Linked DNA regions of Caenorhabditis elegans. The protein of the gene in region 2 interacts with the protein of the main gene of each other region in a pairwise test. Each region holds a gene or a part of one and is shown on either strand. Other genes may lie near its edges. The genes, in order: knl-1, gsp-1 and mel-28.

What was found.
Region 1: the proteins of gsp-1 (region 2) and knl-1 interact in a two-hybrid assay, tested with the Caenorhabditis elegans proteins (2 studies listed by BioGRID).
Region 3: the proteins of gsp-1 (region 2) and mel-28 interact in a two-hybrid assay, tested with the Caenorhabditis elegans proteins (one study listed by BioGRID).

Annotation. Positions count from the first base shown.
Region 1 is NC_003281.10:8,247,686-8,256,591, reverse strand, and holds knl-1 (Outer kinetochore KNL1 complex subunit knl-1), read right to left. Parts: upstream 5,961-8,906; 5' UTR 5,957-5,960; coding exon 5,811-5,956; intron 5,764-5,810; coding exon 5,674-5,763; intron 5,622-5,673; coding exon 5,216-5,621; intron 5,171-5,215; coding exon 4,445-5,170; intron 4,401-4,444; coding exon 3,857-4,400; intron 3,813-3,856; coding exon 3,472-3,812; intron 3,429-3,471; coding exon 2,649-3,428; downstream 1-2,648. Other genes in the region: F09G8.5 (leucine-rich repeat domain-containing protein), read right to left, coding at 1-35, 83-211, 472-701, 1,099-1,164, 1,241-1,617; C02F5.2 (DUF5356 domain-containing protein), read right to left, coding at 6,430-6,563, 6,610-6,700, 6,744-6,850, 6,901-6,955; C02F5.10 (uncharacterized protein), read left to right, coding at 7,120-7,249, 7,456-7,550, 7,598-7,780, 7,830-7,859; TM2 domain-containing protein C02F5.13, read right to left, coding at 7,939-8,152, 8,779-8,906. UniProt on the Caenorhabditis elegans protein: Acts as a component of the outer kinetochore KNL1 complex that serves as a docking point for spindle assembly checkpoint components and mediates microtubule-kinetochore interactions.
Region 2 is NC_003283.11:10,678,908-10,688,696, reverse strand, and holds gsp-1 (Serine/threonine-protein phosphatase PP1-alpha), read right to left. Parts: upstream 6,276-9,789; 5' UTR 6,169-6,275; coding exon 6,114-6,168; intron 5,784-6,113; coding exon 5,652-5,783; intron 5,393-5,651; coding exon 5,162-5,392; intron 4,452-5,161; coding exon 3,988-4,451; intron 2,956-3,987; coding exon 2,848-2,955; 3' UTR 2,192-2,847; downstream 1-2,191. Other genes in the region: F29F11.20 (uncharacterized protein), read right to left, coding at 134-282, 703-796. UniProt on the Caenorhabditis elegans protein: Serine/threonine-protein phosphatase which antagonizes the function of air-2 in the regulation of chromosome cohesion. Dephosphorylates histone H3 at 'Ser-10'. Dephosphorylates translation initiation factor eIF2alpha.
Region 3 is NC_003281.10:4,782,969-4,794,441, forward strand, and holds mel-28 (Protein mel-28), read left to right. Parts: upstream 1-3,111; 5' UTR 3,112-3,112; coding exon 3,113-3,203; intron 3,204-3,247; coding exon 3,248-3,385; intron 3,386-3,443; coding exon 3,444-3,692; intron 3,693-3,738; coding exon 3,739-3,846; intron 3,847-3,890; coding exon 3,891-4,807; intron 4,808-4,855; coding exon 4,856-4,975; intron 4,976-5,018; coding exon 5,019-5,503; intron 5,504-5,556; coding exon 5,557-6,071; intron 6,072-6,121; coding exon 6,122-6,465; intron 6,466-6,515; coding exon 6,516-7,604; intron 7,605-7,659; coding exon 7,660-7,752; intron 7,753-7,802; coding exon 7,803-7,895; intron 7,896-7,940; coding exon 7,941-8,033; intron 8,034-8,079; coding exon 8,080-8,382; intron 8,383-8,429; coding exon 8,430-8,741; intron 8,742-8,817; coding exon 8,818-9,045; intron 9,046-9,090; coding exon 9,091-9,228; intron 9,229-9,277; coding exon 9,278-9,316; 3' UTR 9,317-9,423; downstream 9,424-11,473. Other genes in the region: enu-3.2 (ENhancer of Uncoordination), read right to left, coding at 394-528, 577-723, 772-1,332, 1,494-1,631, 1,746-2,093, 2,152-2,211; mip-1 (HTH OST-type domain-containing protein), read left to right, coding at 10,138-10,256, 10,307-10,426, 10,482-10,686, 10,740-11,066, 11,117-11,453. UniProt on the Caenorhabditis elegans protein: Nuclear envelope protein which has essential roles in assembly of nuclear pore complexes and in chromatin maintenance during the cell cycle. Appears to be a stable structural component of the nuclear envelope during interphase.

The DNA.
Region 1 (8,906 bases), on a different chromosome or scaffold from region 2:
AGGTTGAACAATTCTATCGACTACTGTTGGGCCTACTGTAATACAAGAAAGACGATTAAACATTAAACAAACAGACACTCACCATAGAGAGATCTACTCATCAAATCAATACTATTCGATCTGTTCGATCTTGCACTGTAATGAGAATTATGCATATCACATTCTGGAATACTGTCCTCAATGGCTTCCTGATGATCAGTTGTCGTTACAGCTGAAAAACTGAAGTTTAAAGTTTTTGGAGAGCTTCAGCTTTCGAGGTCATTTTCGGTTTTAATATTTGGATACATTGAAAAGGTTGAAATATGCGAAACTGATCTAAAATTCTTTTTAAAAAAACCAAACATTTCCTAAATTCGGAACTTCGCCAAAGCTGGACATTTTTAAATTTGAAAACTCCTAGGAGTGTATAATTGTGATATTTGATAATTTTCGATGGTCATTAGTGTAACTAAGCAAATTCTAAAATCTTACGCTTATCATCAAGTTTTGTCAGGTTTGGTAAAACTCGAATAACTTTTCTCCGATACTCTTGACCACCTTCTCCAACACAAGGATTCTCGTCAATCCATAGGGTTCTTAGATTCGGTAATTCTTTCAGATATTCCAATTCATCTAACGATTCCAAACAATTCTTCCGTAAGTACACTTCTTTCAGATTTTTACAGTGTTGAAGAGGGGCAAGGGATTTCACTTCATTAACACTGAAAATGTTATATTTAAATTCTATTATGAGGTAATTTTTGGAACTTTTAAATGAAGACTATTTTATTAAAATGATCATAGGAACTTTAAAAAGATTCCCACAAAGAAATCCTCCAGAAAGGAGTATATTGGTGAAATGATTTTCAGATTTTTCAAAGCATAACAAAAAGATTCCAGAAAGTTTTCCTGGTTTTAGATACATTTTGCAATTCACCAAAACTATGACTGATTTTTTTTAATTCAAAAAATTTGTTGTGATATTCAGCCATGTTTGCCTTCATAAGTGCTTTTAAACTAAATCCTCACTTACTGTTCCCCATCTATAAAAGGAACATCTAACTAATAATCTAGATTTTCAAAAAGCTTTTGAAAATCATAATATGAGACACAACCTACCTCAATGATAAAACTTCCAGAAGGCTCATTTTCTCACATACTTGAATGTCATCGATTCCGCACCCCCTGAAACAGAATACTAATTTTCTTTTTTTTTTTTGGAATTATTGCTTTGAGTTAAAAATTCAAATTTTCAACCTACCATAAATTTAGCTTTTTCACATTCTCTAGTGAACATTTTGTACGAATATATACAGCCGATTCAGTTAATTTCACCATAGTCGTGTCCCGTAATGAGTAAAAGTAATGGGACAAAGAGGGAAAAAGAAACGAGTTAGATGAGGGACTCGACGGAGCAGCTGCTGGTAAAACTGAAATGGAGAAGGACCTTCTTTTGGGAACGAGAAAAAGGGAGTGGTGTTTGAAATTGTTGGCAGAGAAAGAACGAAAGTGGAGGAAAGAAAGAAAAGAAAGAAGAAAAAAAGAGAAGAGATGTAGAATAAGAGGAAGAAGCACACTTTGGAATGCAATAGAAACCAACATGGACAAGCATGACAAAAAGAGCAACAAGTGCTCCATTTCAAACATGATAAATGATCATATTCAGAACTTCTCTAAGAATTTTAGCTTTTTGTGAAGTTTTCAAGTGCATAAAAAATTATTTTCTGATTTTCATTATTAGGTTGATTTAGAAAGCTCGCGCTATATGTTAGATTCTTCTTAACAGTGGAACAACTAGGTCGTAATGACCAAATATAACTGTACAAAATGTTATAAAAATATTATTTTTTCTCAATTTTACAACAAGACAATTCAAATGGCTGATCAGGCCACGCCCACTTTTTGGAGTTTTCATTTTTTTCTGGCAAATTCAATAGCCCTTGCAAATTTTTATTTTTGTTTTTCAAAGCCTCCACATAAAAATTAAAAACTGAGAAGAAGTAAAACTTTAAAAAATCAAAGTAAAACTTAAAAAAATCAAAGTAAAACTTAAAAAAATCAAAGTAAAACTTAAAAAAATCAAAGTAAAACTTAAAAAAATCAAAGTAAAACTTTAAAAAATTTGTATACTTACTGCTCACCTACGTACCTATGTACCTCCCGAGGTGTCAAACTCTTGCCTACCCGCCTTATTATGTATATTCTATTTGGAACTACAGTAGTAAATAGTAAGCTAAAATTATTTTTAAGAGAGGAGACTGAAGCTCCGATTTTTTAAACTCCGATTTTTAAACGCACAATAACTTCATTTTACAAAAAAAAACACGGCTACAAAAAAATTTGGTTACAAGGAATATTTATTCATTTGACTATTCAAACCATAAGTCTCCTTTAGATTGATTGAGAATGAACTAGGAATAAAAACATAACTTTGTGATTGCTCTGAGGCATAAATGTATAGGGGAAAAGGTAAACATCTTGAAGGAAATACAGCAAGTGCGGTTGATGCACAATGGGTATTTTTAGATGAAAAAAAAACTAAAATATATGGCACATTAGGTAAAGAATTATATGAGCATCAGAAGTATTGTAGGCCTGATGCAAGGGAAGGGTGAAGGCGGCATCTAAAATTATAATTTTTGACTGTTAATTTTTCGATATTAAACTCACTAGAAGTTCACAATTTTCTTAACAGCCTTAGAGAACACCAGCATTCGACTTTTCTTCAAATCGTTCCTCTGGGCAAACTTCTCGTGTTCTTCCGCGACTTTCATTTCGAGAGCATTTTTCTCTGAACGAAGTGCAATCATGTTTGAGCGTACATTTCGGAGTGCTTTCATTTTCTGGTCGAATTCCCATTGCTTCATCTCCATCCACTCCTTTCGGATTTTCCCGCTCTCTTCGCGTGATGGAGGAAGACTTCTCAGCTTTTCTAGTTCTTTTTGAACGACAGCCATCTTATCGAGACCTCTTAGCTGCTCAGCCATTTTCGAATTTCCTTGTTCTAGTTCAGCAATTTCCTGGTCACTTTCAATTTTTTTCTCGAGTGCAAATTTCAGACGAAGCTCCAAAAACTTGATTTCCGCGTCTTTTCTTGCAATCATAATCGCTTCTCGCTCATCATGACTAAACTTCAAGAGCTCCTTAGTCTTCAACATATCAATTTTCTCAGCAGAAAGTTGATTGGTTGAATTCAGAGAATCAATCTCGTGTTGTACTTTCATTTTCTCGTTTTCAACAATACGCTGAAATTTGAGAGCTTCTGGATGTTGTTCAGTGGACGGATCTTCAGATGTTAAATATACAACGTTGACCACAGCTGGATCGAAGTCTGGCATTTCGAATTGAGGAGATGGAGGTGGAAGTTGTACATTTTGTGACATCAATGATGGTGTTCCTGGGGCAGCAGTTTTTGAAGAATTCAGATGAGGAGAGCGGACTGATGTATTCTGAAAGACATTTTCGATTCAATACTCAAAGAGATATTCTTACCATCGCGAGAATATCTCTTCCCGAATCGTTCAAACTCATACTCGGCATCGAATCTTGACTCGTCTGCATAGTTTTATTCTGTCGATATTCTGTCAGAGCTTCCATTGTTTGCCCATTCATCGACATTATAGAATTCTCCAACGCAACACGACGAGGAGATTCACGAGCAGAATTCAGAAGAGATCGACGTCGTTTAGAGATAGACTGGTTGATGCTCAAATTGAAAGCCGAATATGTTGAAATCTTGGACGTGTTCACTGCTTCCGAGTCGACATTGTTCATGATTTGCGATGTTTCATTATGGCCTTGGAATGTGAAATTCGCGCCAGTATTCGAGGTATCTAAAACATACTTTTAATAGAGTTATTGAATAAACGAAATTTACCATTTTTCTGCAAAGTCTCATCTCCGAATTGCTCCTGCTCTTTGTTACTGTTCAGTTCAACAGCAATAGACTCATGGACCATGCTAATGTCTTCACACGTTGTAATTTGCATAGTTTTAAGAAGAGTATTGTTGTCCAATTCCATCGAATTGTTGAGAGTTGCACTCGAGTTGTGAAGGGCTGATGGTTCTTTAGTGGCAAGAGAAGCTGACTGTGAAGCAAGGATGACTGGCGTCTTCGACGAACCATCGTCTTCCAACTTTTGTGCTACATCAATCATGGAGGAGTGCATAAAAGCCCTTTCTTCTTCGATGAGCATAAACGACTTTTTGTCGATTTCCGAATGAACAGAAGATTCGTTTATCATGGATACGTTTTCTGAAGCATTTTCCTCTTGCCGCTCGAGAGACGTGTAGACATCATTAGTTGTAGTCACTTCTACATTCGACTTTGGCAACGTCAAGGTTCCATCATTTTGTGTCTCGTCAATGCTCATTTCGTCACCGAACACGATAGATTTCTGCGAATCAATGATCGAGTTGTTCTGAAAGAAATACATTTTTATTGGAAAGTGTGCTTAAAACTTACCGCTCCGATCTTTACTCTGGCAGGACTCTGGAACACAGCCATGGTGTCGTTTACTGCAGGTGAATCTCGAATCACCGAAATGTCCATTAAATCCTCCTTTTGAAGTTGCAAGCCGTCGTTCTGCTGATTACCAGCCTCACATGGTTGTTGTTCAGTGATATCCATATCCATGTCTAAATCTTCCACCTCATCTGCGATACTCGGGTATTTCGTTGATTTGTCAGCGGCTTCAATCGTTTTCTCGAGATCCATGCTGCTCTTACTGACGTGTTTCGGGCTGTTGAACATCGCCATAGTGTCATTTACTAGAACTTTCGGAATAGAAATGTCCATAAGCTGACTTGTCTCGAATTGATCATTTTTCTTCTCCGCGTTTAATACGGCCTGATCAGTGATGTCCATGTCCACAGGTACGACGTTCGAGGCGATATTTATTAGATTCTGAGGAACACCCAAACCCTTATTACAGATGTCTCTCGGACTGTTGAAAATGGCCAAAGTATCATTAACTTGAACTTGTGGCGCCGAAATGTCCATCAGTTGACTTGGCCCGAATGTATCATTTTTCTTTTCTTCAATTAAAGTGTGATGTTCAGTGATGTCCATGTCTACAGGCATGACGTTTGAATTAATCGGAATCCGGATAGCATTCATGGTATTATTTTCATCTAATTTACTCGTATCCATTTCAGCGGCTTCCAAGTTTGTGAAATTGAACACATTCATCTGTAAAATTAAGATAATTTGGTTCCTTCTATTAATTCAACATACCGTTTCATCGCACTGGCCGCCCGCTGCTTTTGATTCATCGAGGTCCATCGGTATAGTTCTATTCATTGTAGCGTTATGCTTCGGAACTTTGGGAATCGTGAAAAGAACTGAACGATCAACTGACATATCCTTATCTTCTTGATTCGTTGTATTGAACATTGCTAAGGTATCATCCAGTGGCATACTAACAATTCGCTCGGTAACTTTTGTTGTGGTTTCGACGATCTTTTCGTATAATAGTGTTGGATCTCTTGTGGTTTCAAACAATCTCGCCGTTTCGTTGTTCTCGTTGATAGTTGTTTCGAGAGACATATCCATAGTTTTATCGAGATTACCACCGCCGAACACTTGAAATGAGGACGTGCAGGCCGGAGATTCGGAAATATCCATGTTTCCGCCACGTGGTCTTAAAAAGATTTTTACGTATTCATTATTTCACGTTAAAGGATGGAACTCACGTCAAAATACCATCTGATCCAATAGTGTCAGTAATCTTCTCCTTAACTGGTGTGGCGTCAAGAATTTTACCATGGTCCCTGTCATACTGCCTGAAATAATTATTTTATTGATAAATTATTCACTGACTCTAACTGACTTGACATGCTTCACGTTATGAAAGCTGACTCGTCGATTAGTTGTTGTGGAACTAGGCCCACTGTTCATGACGGTTTCCTCGATGGTTTCGACGGCTTGCCGCACCTTGAGAATCGAGTTCCGCTTCTTACGAGGCTCCATCGACATGGCTGTAAATATGTTTTAAAAATGGTAATAAATTATGATTAAAAAAATAACAAAACAACGGCAGCATAAACTTCGTTAAATGGGAAAAGTAAAAAAGTGAAAAGTAAACGAAGGCAGTTTTGCTTGGCGGCAAATCTCTGTTTGAAATTGAACTTGTACAATGGAGCGAAGCTGCACTCGACACACCACCGGTTCCGTAGAACGCACACTACGAGTAATTCCTTAACTTGGGGCAGTATAATACAATTTTAATAGTTTAAAAAACCAATTGTTTCAAAAATTAGATAAAATTCAATATTAATAAATAAATATATGTACCATTACAGCTGATACACATTGCAAAAATATTTTCTACGAAATTCGAATTCTCAAAATCCGTAGTTTCTCTTGTGAGTACTGTATTTAGATATTTTTTCAGGCAGATTTCAATTAATTTTTTTTTAACCGTTAAGCTTTATTCAACACATAGAGAATCAGGCGGTATCTCTCCAGTCAGGGAATTCTAATTTTATTTGCACTTCTGTTCCATCTGGTGTAGTTTTATCCAAGAGCAATTGACATGATTTCTGAATCAATCGAGCCAAATTGTGGTGTTCTACGACAGGCTCTAAACCAATACAAATTAAGTTCCCAGAATTTTGTGATTTCTCAACTTAAAGGCAATGGAGTTTGTGGTGGAGATTCTTCAGTGACAATTATAGTTTCCATGTTCTTCTCAGTTGCTGAGAACACATTAACTCGATTCTGGAAAAGTTTTAATGAAAATCTACGTAAAAATAAAAATTACCGGCTTCTTTTTCACATTGAGAAGTTCTGCAGAATACGGATCATCTGATGCGTTCCATTCCGATTCTGTATAATTTTGAAGCGCTTCTCCAGTTGAGCTTGGTGGAACTAAAACTTTTTATTAAAAAAAAAACCGAAAAGTTATATATATTACTCACGGCTTATAGAAGTATCAGATTTACTAGGATTTTCTTCCTTCTTTTTGTTGTCCATCTTGTATTTGAAAATGATTTGTAAAATACATTTCCATAAGTGAAAACTCAAAATTACGTGTATTGCATTTTTTTTTCGAAATCTTTTAATTAAGAAAAAACATCTTTTGAAAAGGAAATAATTTTATTCTTCAAAACGATAAAATCAAAATCAAGAGGCAAAAAATGGCAGAGCAGCAACCAAGCAAAGAAGAAAAGAAAGAAGATAAAAAAGACGAAAAAGAAGAGGAACTACCAGCACCAAGTGTTCAGCAATCTATTCGACAGTTGCCGAAGATTCAAATTACTGATGATGGTAAGGATGAAATTTCAATATTACACAGATGCGAAATTTTGTTAGTTTACGCTGAGAAGTACGGTGCCCGGTCTCGACACGACCGAAATATTTTTAGGCAGCGTTTTTAGTTAGAAAACAGGCGTATGGCTTTAAGGACTACAGTAACCCAACTCCAAGCTATTTTACAGTTTTCGCATCTGGACAATACAAAGTTTAATTTCCAGATAAGGGCGAACAGCTGCCAGAATGCACTGAAGGAGAGTGGGATGCCAGTGATGAACCGTTCTCAGCTGAACTTCTGAACGTCAAAAATGCTCCAGTAAATATTCAAATTTGTAGTAAATCCTTCTAATCATCCAATTTCAGAACAAGGTATCCGTGTTCAGTGGTCCTTATCGTTCCAAAGAAACCATTGAAAAAATCAAAAAGTTCAGAGCAGCAATGCCTCCTGTCATTCCAATCATTGACGAACGGCCAGATAAGCTGGCTCAAATGATGAGTCGTATTTTCAGTGAGATAATTGACGGACGTGATCTTTCGAAGATTAAGGTATTTTTCTTTATAAAGTAAATGACAAAGGAAATTACAAATTTTACAGGTGACAGTTAGCACACAATTGCCGCAATGATTGGATTTGACAATATGAGATCGGTTGTAAATATTGACCAATAAACAATTAATTTTCCACTCGTATTAGTTAATTTCTTTTAATAGTACGGCTCCCAACTCGAGTCATCCGCGGGTCCGAGTACTCCAAGTACCAGTAAGAATATATCGACAATCCACCAGATTCCAAATCCACCCAAAGTCATTAGTTTTCCGACAGCCATTGCAGAATATCCCAGGCAAAAACGGTCGACAGCAACCACACCGAGAAAAATGGAATACAGAAGAGTTGTGAGAAAGTAGTGACCATTGTATCTGAAAATATGAAATTTATATTTTTTCTGAATATACTTCAAAAATCATATAATCTCTTCGTAGGAGCATCTTTATTGTGTCAGTTTTAAATAATTTTTTTAAAATAAACCCCGGACGCGAAATTTTGCGACTTTTGCGGCAAGAGTACTGTACCACGTCTCGACACGCCTTTTTTGTTAAATGCGAATTTAAAGAGTACTGTAATTTCAAAATTTCGTCGATGTGGAACTTTCATCGATTTTTTAAATATTTTTGGTGAAAACTGATTTAATAAAATTTATTTATTTATTTATTTGCATGTATAACATGAAAACACTTTAATTTTAACAAAAAAATTTTCTTTCGATTTGTGAAAATTTAAGTGTTTTCAAAAATAAATAATTAGTCTTTCACATAAATTTTATAGTAAAACTCCGTAAAAACTGTGAACATTCCGCAGCGAAATTTGCGGCAGTAAATATAGTTTGAAATTACAGTACTTTTTAAAGGCGCACGCCGTTTTGCATTTAACTAAAATTGTCGTGCCGAGACCAGTGTGACCAGAATTTTTTTGAAACTCAGGTTTTAATAGCTATTTATATTTCAATCAAAATAAAATGTTGAGTTTCGCTTCAAAAAAAGCTTACATTATACAAGGTGTTGACTTTGTAAACGTTCTTGGTCCATGACATTCAATACACGGAAGAACTCGGCACTTGACATTCGTGAACTCAACGTCCTCTGCTCTGTATCCACCCATTTTCAGACATTTTCC
Region 2 (9,789 bases):
TGAGAATGTACGTGAAAAAGATGAGGGAAAATGACGTATTATTGAGAGGGTAAAGTGGAGGCGGGTGAAATGAAAAAGAACAGCGAGAAGTGGACTATTGACAAGACAATGCGGTTGGTTGAGAGATGAGAGCTTACTGGTATTTCAAATATCCATTGGTAAATACCAAATGGAATGATTGAGTTATGACCAAATTATATCGCTCAAAATAAATAAGTATCTGGATTGGAAAACTCATAAGATACGGTAATTGTTGTTCAATCATGGACGAATTGAGCATACCTGTGCAAATACATGATATCATTTTGTTTTTAGATGCTTTAGAGACAAATTTTTCCTCGAGAGTTGAGAAGGAAAAACTATTGATTTTAGAAATTTAAATTTTGAAAACCGGGATTCATTGGTGAATTTTACAGATATTTGTCACTATTAACAAGTCTTTAAGTAATAAATACAAATTAATTAAGAATGCATAATAAATGTAAAAAATTCTACCATAAATTTTTATCACGGCGAGACCCATCCTATTGAATGTTTTAACTATGGAATCACTCATAATTTACGTCCAATCACAACTTAACTAAAGGAAAAAATAACATTTAAAAAACCATGTTTACTAGAGCTAAAGTAAAATTTAAAACCATCTTGGTTAAAATGAAGTTTACCTTTTATAGGCTGAATTATACATTTGAAAAAACCCACCAAAAAAGCAATAATCTTGTCGTCTGATGATTCCTCTCTGTTTTTCTCTATCTAAGCGAACTGCAATGGGCGGAGCTTTAAACAACTGGAACATTTTCAATTGCAAATAATGTGAAACACAGTCAATGAGACCGAGTGGCAACAATTGAAGGAAATAATGTATTTACTTGTGAAATACTCTCGTAAACTCTCAAAGTTGTCTGCGAAACGGGCAAAAAACTGTTCGAAGTTTTTGCGACAAACTGTGAAATGCTGCTCAAACACGTCTTAACCTGTGTGCTCCGTCTCGTATTACGGCACTGTAGAGCAAACTATGAGTTCAAACCACACACATATTAAGAACTTTGAGCATTTTGAAATTGGAATGCGAGGATTTTATTACACGGCAAGATTTTGCGATCTAAAAAATAAGGTCCCCGGTCTCGACACGACAAACGTTCGTTAAATGCGAAAAGGCGTGTGCCTTTAATAATTACTGTAATTTCAAGCTATTGCTTCGGAATTTTCATTAATCATTCATTGTTTGAAGAAAAATTTAATCAAGAAAACGAAAAACAAAGCATATGAATGTTAAAAAATCGTGTGAAACACTATGAACAATCTATGAAAATTCCGAAGCAACAAGAGTTTGATATTACAGTATTCATTAAAGGCGCACACGGGACCTCATTTAATTCGCAAAATCACAACAAAAGTGTTTTTTGTTAACTTTTCCTTAATAAAGAACAACACAATATTCCCAGATGTGAAAATTGTAATGACGCTGGGATACGGTACCCGGTCTCGTCACGAAAAAATGTTTTAATAAAAGCTGCGAGAAAAAAGACTGCGCCTTTAATGATTACAGTGGCGTCCATTCCGTTCTGCTGTAGAATGCAATTTTCTTCGATTTTTCACATCTTAAGATTCCTTCACATTTTTCTGTAAAATAGTTTTTTTCACATGCATACTTTAAATTTCTGAAAATAAGGAACTTTCAAAAGAAAATAAAGCGAAAAATTGAAAACATTGTGCAGCAGTCAGAAGTGTAAACTACTGTACTCTTGAAAGACGCACACTGCTTTTCACAGAAATCATTAAAAAATATTACAGTCGTGCCGGGTCCAGGTATCGTATTATTGAGTCGAATGGTTTATAAATAACATTATTTTGGCGACGAAATCCATTCTGAAAACTACCAAATAGAATTTTTAAAAAATAATTGCCCAGTTTAAAGGATTATGTGTTGCAGTTATTTCTGAAATATTAAATTTCCCTGATCTTGATTTAATGTTTCAGAAGTAATTGGTTTCCCTTGGCAGGATTCCTTCTCTTTATTCTTTTTCCATCCAACGAACATTTTATTTCTATTCTTGTACTCATTCCAAACAATGTGATTCATACTTTTTCCATTATTTTTTTGCCTGAAGACAGTATGTGTTTTATAAATACTTTGACCAAACACACACACACAAAATTTGAGTGACTGGTTCTTGCGCAAGAGAAACCTTTTGGAAAAAATATTCATTGGAATCAGTTGGAGGAAAGAAAGAAGGAAATGGGGGCGAGAAAAAGGAACGGGGGGAGCTGTCGAGAAAAATTCACTATTTTCGAATAAAAACCATAGAAAATTATCAGTGTGCGTGTTGTTGGGGCGGATCAGAATTCAATATTCTAAAAAATAAGAACGAATTCGCTCTCGTACTTTCAGAATGTTTGTGTGATTAACATTGTAAGAATAAATAAGCTGCAACTTTAAATCGGAAGGATTTTGATCCCGGTGTGTTAGGCTCACAACTAAGAATAAAACAGGATAAGAGCAAATGGAAAAAGAGAGGCAATCAGAAAAAAAATATATGAGAAAATTTAGCTAAAAATGGAGAACACAGAAGGAGAGAGAGAAAGATTTGCAATCTGTACTCGCCAGAAAAATTAAATTATATTCGATCGAGTACAGTTGCACAAAAATAGAAAATCAGAAAAGAAAATAATAATGAAGAGCATTTAAAACTCGTTTTTGTGCGGGGTGGGGTGTATTGAGGGCGAGAAAATAATAAAATGTTTGAGATAAAAGAGAAGGGAAATTCAAAAAAAACGGACAGAAAAGTAAAAATCCGAGAGAAATGAGTAAAAATGTAGGCAAAAATGTTCTTTCTCCTCATCACTTTACTTCTTACCAGCAGTCGTTCCAGGCCGTCCTCCGCCCACTGCTGGTCGTCCACTGTTCATTCCTTGATACTGATATTTCGCTTTTTTCTCCGATGGTTTCAGAATCTGTAAAATAAATAATGAATCAAATTTTTCTAATTTATTTGAAAAAAAACAATTTCAGTCTTATCCGATCAAAATTAATTCTATAAGCTTTTTGAGTATAAAATTATCTAATAATCACTGATGGTTCAGTTTGGTCATTATTTCCCGATAGGTTCAAGAGGATATTGGAAGAAAAAGAGTTTTGACGTAACATGGGATGCAACTACTTGAGTTAGATTGTTTTTTCGGGAAAAGAACAAATTGTCACTAACTGAACAATTATCAACATTATATATTTAAACATTTTAAATTTTTTCCGAAATGTAGGATTTTAATAAAGAAGTACCGTTTGATGGTACTTTTTCTCTCATATTTTGATATGGAAAAGAAAGAAGATGGAAGGTGAAATACTAATACAGCTCATTTTCGGTTCCTGAGATTTCTAAGATTTACGAAAAATTATTGATTTTTGATACAAATTTCACGAGATTTTGTGAAATATATTCAAAATTAAAGAATTTGATAGTTTTTTTCACGTGAAATACACAGCCACTAGCATTCTAATTTTCTCGATCATTTTAATACGAATTTGTAAATATGCCGGTGCCGTTTTTCTCTAAAAAGGTTCATCTCATGCTAGATTATTTCTTGATGTGATGCGAATGTTCAATGAGTTCCCAGCCAAAATTAAATTTGAAGAGCAGGAACTTTTACATAAATTCGATTTTCAATCTCACGAGGTTTCAATTTTTCGAAATCGGTTCCTCTTGACCAAGGATGCCCGACCCCTAATTTAAAAATCAATTGTAAACACATTTAGAAAATTGGTTTCTGATTTTCCATCTTGTTTGAATTTATTCCATTTCGGGGATCTGGAATATTTGGAAAAAGAATGAAATTGTTGGAACGTGTATTGACCCACGACGTGGCTAAGAAGATCGTATAACGTGAACTCTATGAACTAACTTATTTATTCCTTAGTTTAGTAATGTAATAAACTACTCGTCTTCTCTCCTTGTTCGGCCTTCGAATACATAACAGAAATATTCTTACCTGGAAACTGCACATTAATGTCTCATCAACGCTCATCATTCCACCAGCGTTATCGAATTCTCCACAATAATTTGGAGCAGAGAATAGTGTGACAAGTTGTCGCTTAGCAAAGAACTCATATCCATCTTCGACGACCTGATGAGCTCTGCATATCAGATCCAAATCATGTCTGTTCAAAAACTTTGCAACGACATCAGGTCCAAATGTGAACGAGACTCCTCTATCATTTTCTCCCCATCCGGTAACATCCTTGTCTGGATCAGACCAGAGCAAATCGCACAACAATCCAGTATCAGGAACATCGGTTGGTCGCATCACACGGCGAATTTGTTCCATATTTTGGAGATCTGGGGAGAGTCCTCCGTGACAGCAGAAGATCTTCTCATCAATGAGTGCAGCAATTGGAAGACAGTTGAAGCAATCGGTGAAAGTTTTCCACAATTTGATCGAAAAACGTCTCTTACCTGAAAATTATTTGGTTTAAAGACTTTTCAATAACAATTCCAGCAATTTTTACTTCTAAAAATTATTAAATTAAAATTTGAGGACCTGGTCGTTTTTTTTTGATATTTGATGAAAATTTGAGTATAAGAATCTGAAAAAAAGAGAAATAAGAAAATCTTCAAAATATACTGATTTTTTCAAAGAATTCAGTAGCTATTGTTCTCCAAATTTTTACATTGATTGAAAATTGTAATTATTCTGTTATTTTGAAAAAATAATTGACATAATTTTCCTTTTTTAACTATCGAAATTTGCTGATTGAACTGGACAAATTTTAATAACCCAGAATTTAATGGAATTTTTCGTTGAAATATAAATTAAAATATACACAACCGATGCATGGTTATTAAGAATCTTTTTGTCATCCGGAGAAAGTTTCTACTTGATGTGAACGGGCGTATGAAAATTTAAAAAAAAGCGAATATTTTGTTTTGGAATAATTTGTTATTACGTATCCATGTGCGGGTGAGAAAAATCGCCATATCTTAAGCGCAAAAAGCACCTGCGTCTCTTTTTCTCGCATGCTATCTAACGCCTATGCAAAACGCCTATGGCGAGAGAGCGTGTGGAGAAGAGAGACGCAGGCGTCTCCGCAGTTTTCATCAAATCATGGACACGTAATATCTCAATTAATATTTCGAATTTTCTTTAAAGCAAAAAAAAACCTTACATTCATCGTAGAATCCATAAATACGGTTAATTGAAGCACATTCGTGGTTTCCACGAAGAAGGAAAAAGTTTTCTGGATATTTGACTTTGTATGCGAGCAACAAGCAAATTGTTTCCAAGCTCTGCTTTCCACGATCGACATAATCTCCGAGGAACAAGTAATTGGCCTCTGGTGGGAATCCTCCGTATTCGAATAAACGGAGCAAGTCGTTATATTGTCCATGTATGTCTCCTAAAATTAAATATTTCTCATTCATATTGAACTTTTAGAGAAATTAACATTCTAAATTGTATGCTGCGAAACTTTTCAATGACATTCGGACTTTTTTTCCAATAATCACATACGTTCAGTGATGTTTTTACTAAATAATTGAACTATCTTTGAATTTTTAGACAGAATTTATAAATAATCGAAGACTATTGACCATATTCTCTAGTCGTCTCTTACATTGCAGACACAAAAACGGTTTTTGAATAATAAAAAAACTCACCACAAATCTTGAGAGGTGCTTCGAGTTCCAGAAGAATTGGCTGTGATAGGAAGATCTCACGAGATTTATGACAAAGAGCACGGATCTCCGCCTCCGACATGGTAACTGGCTTTCCTGGACGACATCCGCGAACTGAAAAATAATTTTATTGAAAAATCAAATTAGTCACTTAAAATAAGCTTTAAAGAGAATTAGTAAAATTTTAAATATTAATTAAATTTTTTACGACCGTAAAAATCGGAAAGTGGAAAAATGACAGAAATTATTGAAATAAATAGTTGCCAACCATAATAAATAATGATAATTGCTATATTAAACAAAATTCCTCAAAACCAGAATATTTGGAATTTCTAGTCGGAATTTCAAACAAATAAAATTCAATAAAATTTCTGAACAACTATACAGCTGGTTTAGTTCGAATGTCGATATTAGATCAATTTCTCTATTAACTTTAAAACCCACCTTCAAGAAGTCTGGTGATCAGATTGTCAATGTTTAAATCTCCATCGTTCGACATTGTTTTTGCAGCTGCAATCTCCGCGGCTTCTGTTGGTCACTTTTGATGGATGGCAAGTGATGTATGTTCTTGCAATGTTTTTGGCCGACAACTGATATTGGTTGTGGCTGAAAGATAAAAAATTAGTAACGTTGGCGTGAGAATTTAAAAAAAACTTCAAGGAAAACGTGAGAAAATTGATAAGACTAAGCTTAAAAAGCATCAAAAAACAACAGCAGTAGGATGTGATGCGTATCATTACAATTCCAAGAGGAAAAATGCAAAAATGAGAATTTTATCAAGAAATTGTAATGCGAATATAATATAGTTTTCAAATTTCCTGATTGGATTATATTTTTGAAGAATAAAAACCTTAAAGTGATTTGTTTCAATCGGAAACTCGATGACGTGATGGACACAATATTAAAATGTTTGAGAAAGAAAGAACACATGGTTTTTAACAATCGATATGCAAATTTTGAATTTGAAAAGGCAACAAACGCGTGTCGTGAAAACAAACAAAAAAACTGAATTATGTGAAATTTGTGCTATACTGTTTCTAAACATTGAAAATAGAAAACGAGCAACTGATGCCTTGAAGAAAAAAGTTTGTTGGTGTACTAAGAGAAATTCCTTCGTCCTGTGGTAGCAAAAGACAACAAAAAGAATTGGGGAGCAAACTGAGACCATATTCACTTAAACACCTGCGTCTCTCAAATTCGAAACGTGAATCACCGCTTTATGCACCTTGAGGCAAATCGAAGCTACTCTAATACTCTTTTTTTTTCTGGCCAATTTCAAGTTATACACCTATATAGTTTTATCGGAAAACGGTAACGAGACGACGCCCGTTCCTTCTCTTTGCCGTTATCAACGACCCCGAGGAGGAACATGTCATAAACACGACACCGTCGTCACAGCAGGCGGATAACTTTACAGCACTAGAAAAAGGAAATGGTGAAGATATGATAGAGAGAAAACAGAAGCTTTCAAAGAGAAACATGTGTGGCTGTAGTCAAGCAAAGTAGGTTCATCAATAGTGGAGGAAAATGAGGAGATCGGGATGAAATGCCGCGTATAAAAAGAGGAGCGAAAAGTGACGACGGACTGAGACGCATGTGTATGTGCCTGTCCCTATGTGTGAGTGTACGAGTGGAGCGAGAGACGAACGCGCGCCGATCCACCGGCCACTGCCCGCAGTATTGATCGATAACTCGCCACCGTCGTTTCCATTCTTTCGCCGAAACAATTCGCAATGTTATTGCACTACCTCCGGTGGCACGTGCGATATTGGTTCGACACTACTGACATCGTGTAAGACGTCATGGAATCAAAAACGGCGACAACTTCCGAGAAGGTTTTCTTATCACACTTTGCGCATAGTCTGTTATCTTTTGAAAAGGGTAACGCTTATTCTTGTGAGAAAAAACAACAATAAAAAACGGCTAGAGAAGCTTGAGGTGCTCTTTCTTTCTCTTCTCTAGAACAAATGGGCAAAACGAGATGTACAAGTATTTGATTTGCACGCAGAACGTTTCGAAAAGAGGAAACGACGACGAGAAAGAAAAGATTGAGAAAGGCAAACACTTCCTGTGCGGTAAAGATATACGACATTCCAGACTTTTTTCAAACAACACTTAATAAACAATTTTTTATTATTAAGCATAAAATTATGACAAATTGTATGTTTCTGCCAACAAAATGTTACAAAAAGAACTATTTACGAGCCATAAAATTTCGTAATTATTTTTCTTTTCATTGCGCGGTGTAAAACTTTTCGATGACTAATATAATGTTAACAATATAAACTAAATGATAACACATGTTATTCATATTTTAAACCAACTTCTTTTCTATTCAATCGAAATAAATAAATTCTGGAATAAATACCCCAAGAAGTCATTCAAATCACCTTAAGCCTCTATGACATTACGGAAAATAGTTATATCAAACGAAAATTATTTAAAAAAGAATAAAACTACTTGATTTCGTAACATAAACAGTTTCATAAACGAAAAAAGCGATGAAAAACATTCAAAAAATGCAATAGGACAAAAATTATTTTGAAAGTCCGCAAACACTGTTCACAAGTTGACGCACAATTGCACACAAAAAACCACCGTACTAGGCTCCTTTTTTGGAGATTTGTGAAAATTTCGGAATTACGCTTTCAAATAAACAGCTAAAAACAATTATTAGTCAAAAACTTTTCTCACGAAAATTTAGTATCATGTTCGAGCTTTGATTGAGGTGAAAGAAAACGTAAGCACATGTGAAAAAGATCGAGAGAAGGCAAAATAAGACCGAAAGGAAATGAAAAAAGAGGAGGAAAGCAGGGACGGACGGGGCAACGAGATGCTCACGTTGAGATGAGGGTCTCGAATTCAATTTATTGAATCGCGCAGAAGCAGAAGCAAAAAAAGTTGTTGACTAAACAAGTAACCGCAAGTTTTTGAGAGGGCGAAAAATAGGAAGAAAAACGAAGATGACAAGGCGCAGAGACCGGGAAGAAAAACCGTTTCTTTGGGCTCGAAGGAACGCCTTGTGCTGGAAAATAAAGACTGATTCAATCAAATGTTACTATATATGAGCATACAGATGCAATTAAGATTTTTCGTATAAAAAAGTTTAGGTACATGCTTCTAATGAAATATGTAATGAAAACAGAATGTGATTTAGTTATTCAACATACTGTAGCCGCAATTAATAAGATCACATTGAAAATATGTATCGAAAAAGTCTATGGCTAGAATCATTCGTTATTTATTTGCTATCTGCTTTCAAATAGCGCTGAGTCGACTCAGTAACTACGAGATAGAACAGAAGCCTTCAAAGACAAGTACGGTAATTGTATGTTTTTTATCAGTTGATGATTTTCAGCTAGCTTAGCTTAATTTTTAGATATTCGTGAGCAAAAAGTGAAAACTCAGCAAGTTTTTGAAGAACATTGAATCAGCTGTCCAAAAGAGTTCGTGAGTGGGAGGAGTATCAGTTTTTTAAATAAAAATTCTATATAATATTCAATCACCATATTCCAAGAAATTTTTAATTTAACATTTTTGGCTCTTTTCGAATGAATCGTTATTATAAAGGCATAAACAAACATCTCGGGAGTTTAAAATGGGAAATAACAGTGAATTCGTTATGAACTGACTGTCTCGTCTGTATTCGATGTGAAATTTCCCAATAAACGATGGGAAAGTGTCGGAACGAAGCGATAGTATAGCAATAAGGTCAGAACAATTGACGAGATTTAGAGAAATATACATCTTTCACATCACCAGCGGCAACATTCGGAATGATTCAAGTCATTCTCCGACCACTTCCTCCTAATCGAATTACGAAGAAACGTTCTGTTTCTTATTCTTCCAGATGACCAAGACTAAAAAAGAAAAATGAATCCACAGAAACAGAGAGAAAGAGAGTACAATGTGACGGCTTCAGAATACCTAATAGTAAGCATAACAGACGTTTATTTTAAATTTCAAAACACTTCAGGACCAGAATACACAATCAAAAGACACAGGTCATATAAGTCAATGTTTTGTGTAACAATGAATAGAAAGACGTGTGTTTTGTGTTGAAAAAGGGATAAAGATCAAGAGCATCGGAGACACGTATCGATTTCACTTGTCTTTTTTG
Region 3 (11,473 bases), on a different chromosome or scaffold from region 2:
ATCCCACAAAAATGAAGAACATCGAGAACAAAACTCATGGTGCATCGACTAACAAATTTTTCGGTCAAAAAAATCTGATAAAATATGATGGCAACAGACTTCCTAGAAACACCTGAATTTCGCCCGTAAAAAAATGAGTGCGCCTTTAAGAGCTACAGTAACCCACTAAATCCACTAAATCATTAAACTGAAAGTTCCTTGATGTCGAAAGAGGAACAAAATTTGACAAAAAAAAATTTATTGTCAGAGAAAAGTAATAAAAGTGAAATTGTGTGGGGAAATAAATACGGACGGGGAGTTTGAAAAATGAATGGGACTATACGAGGTCATAAATAATACAATTGTGGGGAACGTTGAGAGGAGTTGAGAGGCGGTCGGGGGCTCAGAAGAACTTCAATCGCGTGGCTTGTCCACAGTGACGACCGCTTCCGGCGCTGCTTGTTCCGATGTCCACTCCTTCTTCTTCTTCTTAATCAAGGACGGTGGGAGCGACGTATTTTCCGGGGTGCCTGGCATTGGCGATTGCTTCTGAAAATTTGAAATTTTAGATAAAAAGATCATGAGATTTAAGCTAACCGGAGTCTGGAGCTTCTCCTTGGTTGCCTTTTCGGTGACTGGAAGCATCTGAGCTTGTTGGAGCAGTGGGACCAAGTTCGTCAAATCAGTGGACACCTTCGGGGCTTTGCGCTTCGACGATTCAGCCGCCATTGATCTTCCCTTAATCTGAAAACAAAAATCGTTGTGAGACCCAGCGTGTGCCTTTAGACTTACATGAGATCCCGGTGTGAGGAGAGCGTCGGTTTTCGGCGTTTCCTTGGTGGGTTCTGGCAGCACTGTCTTCTGTTGTGGCTCCAATTTCACAGAGAACACGTCCATCTTCATGTGCACCGGCGACGTCAATTCAAGCTTCAGCTCAAGACGGGCATCGCTGAAGATCTCCTTCGCCAAGGTCTCCGATGAGCAAACGAACGGCGGTCCATCATCAAGATATCCGTGCAGGAAAACCTTCTGCTCGGTCATTTTCTCCACATGATGTTGCACGAGCTCCAAAGCGTACCGCGCCTTTTCCTCTGTCGTCACCAGCGGCGCAGGGAGATCCAAATCATTGATGAGCGAAATGAGCTCCTTTCCACGTCCCCAATTGTCGGCGATCACTTGCAAGTGACAGCTCATTGCTTCTTCCTTTTGAGCGGTCTTGGTCCGACTCTCGTATGGTCCGTTGGTCGAGCCTGCTCCGAGGGCTGGTGTGATGGGCGGGGCCACCGCGGATCGTCGTTTCTCCATCACTTTTGTGACGTTTCCATTGGGAGTCTTGCTCTCTGCTACCACATACTGAAATTTAAAACTGCGTTTTTTCAATTCTCTTTCAATGCTAATAATTCCGTTTTTACGTCGTGGCCGCGAAATGCGAAAACTCGGCCACCTTCAAAGATCTTGGCCGAGCTCTCGCTTTTTCTAGGCCACGTTGCAAAAAAATCGATAATAAAACGTACCGGATTCGCGGCAATTCCATAAGCCAACCGCTCTCGGCGTTCCTTCTCCTCATCCTCGTGCTGCTGATCGTCTTGTTCTTCTCGCTTCCTAGCCGCCATCTGCTCAGCGATGAGCTCCTCAAAATATTTCTTCTGCTCCTGAAAAGAAGGTTTCGTATGTTGAAAGTTGTCCACGTGTAGTACGCAATTCGCTTTTCATTAAATATAACTTAAATCAATAAAAAGCTAGGCCACTGGCAAAATTTCACTTACCCTCGCCTTCTGATCCTCGAGGTAGAAATACAAAAAAATGTGGAAAATGACGAAGGCGATCAGGATGCCATATCCGATGTACTTCGGCGTGTCCTTGTGAACATTGATCGTGTATGCACATGACGGGCAGTGTGTGCCGTTTCCATTTTTGCAGGTTTGAGGGCTCGCCGAGCTCACAAGAGCAAGCTGCGTCGTATTGGCGGCAGGAGCGGTCACGTTTACATTTTTCGTCGGATTGCCGGCAGGAGCGGTCGCATTAGGACTTTTTGCCGAATTGCCGGCAGGAGCGGTCACGTTTGAAGTGTTCGTAGCGGCGGAAACAGGCACATTTGGTGTGGTGGTTGTTGGCTGAAAAATGGTGAAACATTATGGTCTAGAAAAATCGAAGGATGTCTAGGCAACTCACCAATACATGAACTATTAATCCGAAGATTACCAATGAAAACAAAATACGCAAAATACGCATTTTTGAGTGACGCGTGTGTCGGAGAGAAACCGATTTCACAAACTAATTTAAGTTATAATTTGTTTATTTCAATCGCTACGTGTGCCGTGTGCCACGTGGCCACGCGTGAGTAGGGGCGGGGCCTATTTCGCAACCACCGCACACTTTTTTCGCAAGCCTCGCACGTTTTTCCATGATATTGTTGCATTTTTCAAAAGAAAAAACGTGCGAGGCTTGCGAAAAAAGTGTGCGGTGGCTGCGAATAGGTCCCGCCCCTGCATCCTGTTTTGGGTTCCTTTTTGTTTGTTTTTTTTTCGCGGATGGTTAATTTTGTTTTCGAAGAATTTCTCGTAAAAAGTTCCTTTACAATTAGTCAAATTTTATTCACTCAATAAACAAGGTTTTTCTTCAAAAAATACAAGGTTTCGCGATGCGCCTATCATTTTATCATTTCTTGAGTAAAACAGTCTTTACGCTCGTTGCTCCAAAAAATGTATGTTTCTTAAGGGTTTCCATTAATTTTTTAGAAGTCATTTGAAAATGCTAAAAAGTTGGTTTACGTCATTTTAAGTATGTGCTTCTCTTAAGATAATGATGTAATATGGATTATATTCCAATTTAAATCATTCAAATTGATTTTTTTCATTTAAGAATTCCATTCAATTTCTACATTCTTCGTTGCGTCTTCTAACCTTTGCAAGCATTTTCCATTTTCGCTTGTTTTCGCAGTCCGTATGTTTCCGTTGCGGTGTTTGCGTATTGGTGAAAACAAATTTTCCCGGTCGTTTGAATGTAGTCGGACGAGCCCTTATTTTAAGCTACGCACTTCTAAAACCACTTATTTTAATTGATAATTTCTTTGTCTCACTTCTTTAAATGTTATTTATTAGCTGCGATGTGCAAAGGTTTATTTTTTTTCAGAATGGATAATGAAAATTCGTCCATTTTCAAATCATATCAAGGATACGAGTGTTGGAGGGGAGAAAAGCAAATTATTTTGAAGGATTCAATTGGTATTTCATATTTCTATCGATTCAACATTATTCTATTCATTCAGGTCGTCAACTTCCCTACATTGTGAATTTTAAAAAGAATACGTGTCAAATATTCGATATCGAATGGGAACGCGTAACTCACTCGTTCGTTTTCCCTGAAGGATGTGCTTTGATCGATGCGGACTATTTTCCAACAGAAGGTAAGTTTTTTATTACTATCATATTTTCTTTATTGATTTCAAAATATTTTATTTACAGAAGGAAAGCTCGGAATTCTTGTTGGTGTTGAAGATCCTCGTCAGTCGTGCGGTGCCGAGCACTTTGTTCTTGCATTGGCAGTTGATCCGGATTCACCAGCCATGACAATCACACACTCACTGGAAGTTCCATCGAAAATTACAGTTGTGAAGACGCTTTTTTCGTCTGCCGACATGGCTGATGAAACACAGAGAACAGTTTTAAAGCTCTATCATCGACTGATGACGTGGCAGCATATTGTGGCAATTGGTAATAAATCAAATTTGAATGAAAACTTTGCAAATTTACATTCCAGGTTGCAAGGAGACACAATGCTACTTAGCTCGTTTAGTTGCTGTTGAGACGCCGTCAAGTCCTGTCATCACAGTTCACAGTGAGAAAAAGTATTTGATCAACCTAATGAGTAAGTTTCCCGAAGATTAAACAAATTTGATTAGTGTGTTTCAGATGCTTACGTCAGCGGTTCAGTTCTTCAGTACACTTTGGACGATGGAGCATATCGTGAATACCCAACCGCCGCCGTGTATATCTCAGCGTTATCGTTGATGCCAAGAAGTCGAACTCTTCTTGTCGGTTTATCGATGGGAGGCATTCTGGCAGCTTCATTGAATCCTTCAAATCAGATGATGCTTTTGGAATTGAGACACGAACGACTTGTCAGAAAAATTGCTCCATTAGAACCAGAAGATGATCCCGACAAATTTGAGTATTTCATCGCCACTGTTGATTGTTCACCTCGTCATCCAATCATGATTCAACTTTGGCGTGGATCTTTCAAAACTCTCGAGGATGTTGATGGAGAAGAAAAGTACGACCGTCCATCATTCAGTGTTTGTCTAGAACATAAGATTTTGTTCGGAGAAAGATGGTTGGCTGTGAATCCTATTGTTACTGAAAGAGATCATATGATGCTCACAAGAAAGCGAGGAACGGAAGATTCGATGCACAATGTTTCTCAGACATTCGGATCAACTTCTAATCGAAACTCTGTTCTTTTGGCATACGAACGAAAGAAGATGGTGATCGGCACAGAAGACCCGAATGCTGAACCAGAATACATTGTGGAAGCAGCTATTTTTGATATAGATTCATGGTACTACAAAAGAGTTCCCGGTCGAGTATCTACAGATGGAACTGTTCTCAAGCAATGTGCATTCTTATCAACTATAAAGTCTAACATCCGATCAGAAGATGTAAATGACATCGGAATTCTTACAAATGAGGCCACTGATGTATCCAGCTTCTCTAGCATGGTTTCAGACGCAGATCAACTGTTTTATCCGTCAGCATTAAGCTTCGAAAGGGTTTTTGTTGCCAAGAATACCAGAATTGACTGGATGAAGATCCAGAACATCCAGGACACGGTAAATTTATCGGCATTGAGATTGTTTTTATTCCGGTTTTTTTTTCAGATTTTGAACAAATGCGCCGTCAAACTGCCTGCTCTCATCAGGAATCCCGAAATGATTTCCAGCGTTGTTATGGCAGCTGGTTTAGTGAGAAAAAATATTCTGTCTGGATCTCCCAATTCGGTGAGCTTATTTTTTAAAGTTAAATTGATGAAATTGTTTTCAGAGCGCCGCAGAAATAAACGAACTTCAATTATCGTCTGATCAAAAGGTTCTTCTCAACGTTATCGTCTACTACGGAAAAATTGAAGAGTTTTGTCAATTGGCATCTCGTCCTGACATTAGTGACACGCTAAAACGGGAATTAGCAGAATGGGCACTTCACGAAGCTGTTGACTACAAGAGAACTATTTCTGACAAGATGGTTTCACTCTTCCAGGGAAGATCACTTGCTCTCTCTCCACTAGCAGAAGAATCTATTGCACAGGGAATCAAGCTTTTCCGAGTTGTTTACGAATATCTGAAAGCCTGTTCAAAAGCGTTAAAAGATGATCGACTTCGCAATTTGGCCCATTCTGTGATATGTATGAGAAACCATACGAAACTTACCAGCCAATTCATCAATTTTGCCATCATTCCTGTAGACCCGATCAGACAGCAAAGAATGAAGGATTTACATTCAAAGAGAAAAAATATGGCGAGAAAGAACTCGTGAGTTTAGAAAAATCCTTTTTAAGAAAAAGTTATACGATTAAATTATTCAGATCATCTCTACCCGTTCAATCAGTCGTTCGAAAAATGAATCGTCAAGCTCCAAATGCTCAATTCTGGAACGATATTCCACATGACGAATGGTATCCGCCAACACCTCTCGATTTGCTGGAATGCCTGCTGAATGTTTCGATTTCTGAGAGTATTAAACGAGAACTCGTTGTCCAATATGTCATTGATTGGATTTCCACATCTCCTGAAGATTCTGAACACAGCGAAAAACAATTGGCACTTGAAACTATCAAAATCATGACAAATCAAATGCTTAACGTTAACTTGGAGAAAATTTATTACATTCTGGACCAAGGAAAGAAGGCTTTAACAAGCAGCAAGACATCGGATGATATGAGAGCACTTGGAGAGAAAGTATTCTCAATGAAAGATGACGAGATTAGTTATGAGAAATTGTGGGGAAAAGATGCTCCGATGACAGTGACAATCGGAAAACACGATTTACAGCGATTTGAACAACGAATGAAAATGCAAATGGAAGGTGGAAAAGTTAGATGTGAGATAGATTTTCAGTCTCATTTCCAATTAATTTTTTTTAATTTCCAGTGCCAGTTCTCGATCCGGAATCTGAGATTCTCTACCAAATGTTTCTCTTTGAAAACGAAAAGTTTGAAGCAATGTCATCAGAAGCGATTAGTTCCAACAAATTGCTATCGGCTTTCCTGCCAGGAATGATCAAGAAGGATGGAAGAGGTCGTCAGAAGACTGCGAAAGAACAGGAAATCGAAATTTCAGTTAAGAAAATGTTTGAGAGAAAGGTGCAAAACGACGACGAAGATATGCCTGAAGTTTTCGCTTCTGTCAATGACAAAACAGAAAGAAAGCGGAAATCAAGTCAGTTTGGTGAAGACGATGAGAGTAGTGTTTCGTCATCACAATATGTGCCACCTGTAAGATTATTGCAGTTAAATAGTACAAACCAAGATTCTGAAATTTACAGACCGCGAAGAGAATTCAACAGTGGAAGAGTGCCGTCGAATCTGTTGCCAACAATTCGAGTATCAACAGTATCACAAGTCCGGATTCTCACCAAAATGCAGAAATCAATATGATGATTGCAACACCGGCACGGTATTACAAGCGACATAATGAGGAGGAAAATGTTCAAGATGGATTTCTATCGCCCGCTGGAAACAGACCGCCGCCAGTCTCTGCTCACAACAGTATTCTGAAAACAGCTAAAGGTGGCCAATCGGCTAGTCGAGGCCGTATCCGATTCCGTGCTGACGTTCCAAGAGGTGCTGACGAGAGTATTGAAGACAATGGTCGGAAAGGCCTTGCATTGAACTTTGCAATTCTTGAAGATGAAGAAGAGGAAACCATGACTATTAGAAAATCACGGTCTATGGGAAAACATGACGAGGAGAAGGATTCAGAGAAAAATGTAGTGGATGAGATGGAAGAAGTAAAAGATCAAGAACAAGAAAACGATGAATGCATTGAAAGTGAGAAAACTTTCGAAAACCAAGACGATTTCGAGGTTCTCGAAGATACATCTGCTCCAGAAGCTGCAAATACAGAAAATGGTTCGGAAACTCCTCCCATGGAAGATACGTTTGAAGTACGAGATGATGACGTCATGCCACCAACCGATGAGACATATTTGAGTCATTTACAAACCGATAAAACGGGTATTCTTGAGGAGGAAGGTGAAGATGAAGATATATGGGATGGAGTTCAAAGATCTTTCGAGGTTCAAATGGATGAGGATTGTGAAGCTGTACCAACGATTGATGTAGCCGATGATTTGGAGAGTAAATCTGAAGAAGTGAATGAAGAAGAGGTAGTTGAATCTGAAGAAGTTCAGCAAGATGCGAAAGAACCTGAAAAAACTGAAAAACGACAGGAAGAGCCAGAACCTGAAGTTATGCAGCCAGTGATTCCGGAAGAGCCTCAAAACGAATCTCTCGAATCGTCTATTAAACTGCAGGAAGAGTTACAGGAAGAGCCTGACATAGTTCCGACAGGTGATGAAGATACCGCGGATAAAGTTCAAGAACAAGCTGTTGAGGAAGATAGACCACCATCTGTAAGATACCATAAAATAAAATTTGAGGAAAAACGGCAATAATTGTATATTTCAGAGAAACACTCGCTCATCATCTGTCCAGAAGTCTACTTCACAAGTGGAAGACCGGGATCCGAAAGAACTTGTCGAGGAAGAAAGACCTCCATCTGTCAGTTTCGTCATCAATTTGACAGACAGAAATAAAATTTATGTTTTCAGAGAAACACTCGTTCTGCGTCTGTTCAAAAATCATCTAACCAAGAGAAAACTTCGGAATCAGGAGAAGTCACGGAAGAAGATAGACCACCATCCGTGAGTTGTTTTTAAAATTTGAAATTTATATGTGTATTTTTCTAGAGAAATACGCGGTCGGCATCTGTTCAAAAATCTTCATCAAAGGTAAAAGACCAGAAGCCAGAGGAACTCATCGAGGAAGATAGACCTCCATCAGTAAGTCTCTCGTGATTTCTTTAAAAATTTAGTTCAATATTTCCAGAGAAATACTCGATCCGCATCAGCCCAGAAGACAGTGGCAGCAAATAAATCTGTTTTGGAGTCTGAAATTCCAAGTCGTTCAGCGTCACGAAGAACTCGCTCCACATCGCTTAGGAATGATACTGTTGCCGAACCAGATGAGACGTCGGTTGCGATGACAACTCGGCGTCGGACTCGGGCAACTTCTGAGGTTGTTAGCAAGCAGTCGTCTGAAGATGATGGAAGATCGACACCAAAAACCGGAAGAACTCCCACGAAAAAGGCTGCAGCTAGTACATCTTCTAGTAGAGCTGGAAGTGTAACTGTACGTTGTTTAATCGTTTAATCATACAACTATTCGAACATTTTCAGCGCGGTAAAAAATCGATCATCCAAAAGATGCCATCCCCGCTAGAGGTTACAATGGAAGTTCAAGAAGAAGAAGAAGAAGAAGCGGAGGAGGAACGGCCTGCATCAAGAAGCACTCGCTCTGCATCTGTCAAAAATACAACTGTTGACCCATCGTCATCTGCACTTGCTTCTACCAAACGTACAACTTCTAGAAAGAGGGGCAATTCGGAAACGATCGACTTTAATCAGGACGACAAATCGGCACCGACGACGCCAAAAAGAGGAAGACCCGCCAAAAAGGATGCAGGATCTCCTAAAGTTGGAAGTAAAGCTGTAAGCATTTTTAATTATTTTTTTGAATTAAAAATGTTGTATTCATAAATTGTAAATTGATTTGTTTTCGTTTCAGCGTGGCACCAAGCCTAAATCGATATTCGAAAATCAAGAAGATGAAGAAGATCGTTCATCCTCTCCAGATATCGAACAACCAGCCACACCTACACGGTCTTCCAAACGAACGGCTAGATCCAGAGCAAATTCCGAATCGATCGATGATGATAGCAAGCAGAAGACCCCAAAAAAGAAAAATGCCGCGGTTAATGAAGCTGGTACCAGTAAACAGTCTAGAAGTGTGACGGTATGATCCCAAAACATAATTTTTTTTCAAAATTATTATTTTCAGAGATCTCGAGCATCATCTATTGATGTACAACAAGAGGTGGAAGAGCCAACCACTCCAAAACGCGGAAGAGGAAGACCGCCCAAAACCGTTCTGGAAAATATTGAAGAGGGTGAAGAAGAGAGAAAAGAAACGGCTGCGGTAATATTTTCAGCAATACGATTTCTCAAACGAGGTGTTTTATTTTCAGACTCCTCTACTGCGTTCAGCTCGCCGTGCTAAACAATAGAGGTCGAACACAGCTCAAATTTTAACTATTTGTCCTTATTTATTTTATTATTTGAAATTCTTCAACTGACACATGTGAAATAAGTTCCAATAAAATTGTTTGGCATTAACATTGAATTGGAAATAAAGCAATAAAGGTGCATAGAACGGAGAGTTCAGGATGGCGTTATAGTTTTTAAATTTCAAGCAACAAATTCGATAATTTAATTTTAACTGGAAAATGTGAACGATTGTTCCTAGCATGCGAAACAGGTGTTTATACCACATTTAAAAAATTTCCAAAACGAAGCTCTGCAGAATTTTTTCTAATTTCTCGTGGTAATGATGAATTATTATTTAATTTTGTTTTTTAATGCACCAATAAAACGTTTTTTCGTGTAGAAAAAAGACGGCATTGTTAAATATATTCTTCACTGCAAAAATCCAATTTTATAAAAACTAATTTAAATCTTTCGAAAGGTTACTGTAACAGTCATTTGCGTGTGCATTTCTACGCAATATGTGGCGCCAAAAGGCTTGTCCTAAAATTCGGCTACCCATTCTAAATAAAATGATTCTTCGCAGTTGTTCTCTGTTAACAGCTTGTTTTTTTTATGTTTTGATGATATTTTCATGTTAAAATAATAATTTTAACGTTGTTCATAGACGTTAGCATGTAAGGACGATCTTGACGTATTGTAAACATCTGTAAAATTAGTTATCCGTGCATCAGACTGGGTCTGAGTCTTTTTTACAATTTACTGTAACATTTTTGTATCTTTTTCACGTTAATACTTGATCAAATTGTAAAATGTTCTCTCAGAAGTGACATTCACTTGGCAAATGACGGAAGCTGACGATCCCAAGAAGAAAATACGCGCGCGCATCGAGCGCGACGTGTACAGTGTTCTGCTATCATTCCAGGAAGGAGCGACCCCAAATCAAGTAGAAAGGAGAATGGAGTTTGTGTTTCGCGGCATTATTTCTCAAATTTAATGTATTAACTATTTAGCGACACGCTTGGCTACACATATGTTGGAAAATATGTACAGGCTGGTGTGAGAGATATGGCTCAACTTCTGCGAGAGCACAAAGATGTACGACAAAATTTATCCGGAGTTTTCAGTGTTGTGTGAGAAATATATATTGCTCTTATTCGAGTCAAAACTCAATACATTCGTTTTCAGCGCAAATGAGGACAATCAAGACCTAATCAATCTGATCTCAAAGCAGAAGAAAAAAAAGAAAGGTGGAAAAGGTGCAAAGCCCATTCGTGCAGCTACGTCTATGGGATTCCATAATAAAAGTGGATTCGGATATGCAGCTCACTTGCGCTCACCGAAACCCTCATTTATGTATCCAGCTTCATCTGCCAGAGCGAACCCGGCAAAGGTTCAAATTGAAAAAAAAAAACTATGTTCAAGATTAACATAATAATATTGCAGCCACAAGCAACTGGGTATCGCAATACCGTTCGACACCCACCTGTCCGCCCTTCCACTGCAACTGGTCACTCTAGTTTCGCAAATAGATCAGCTTATTCACATCATACAACGAGAAGCACCACTGTTGGTCCGGTCAAAATTGCTCCTAGTGCGACTGCTCAGCGTCCTCTTTTACGTCAACCTGTAACCGTTGTTCAAAGACTGTCGTCTACAGTGGCTGTTCCAGTTTTGCAACCCGGGATTGACTCGAAGTGTATGCCTTCGATCGTTGATTTTTCGAACAACGTTAAGCGCATGATGCTTCTGGAATATCCTGCTGATGTCCATGTAAATTTTTTTCAACATTTGCAAATTGCAACTGATTTTTCATATTACAGCTCTCTGAATTGACCGAAATCTACGATAAGCATTTCGATGTATCAATTGATCCACTCCAGTTGTTTAGCAAGAGCTGGATGATGTTCGTGAAGACTTCATTCAAAGAATGGCTGCAACTCGGAACAGACGGTCGAGTTGAAGTGAAGGAACCCTGGTTCACAAATTTTGGAGCTGCGTTAAAGAAATCAATGCCACCTGCTCCTGAAAAGAAGAAACCAACGACACTGCATGAGCCCACTTCAAGTGTCGCATCATCGAGCTTACCGATTTCACAAGGATTTCGGTATCAAATACCAGTTGTTCGTCCGATAGTGTCTGTCGCAGAAAGTATGAAAGGTATTTACATTTGAAAATAA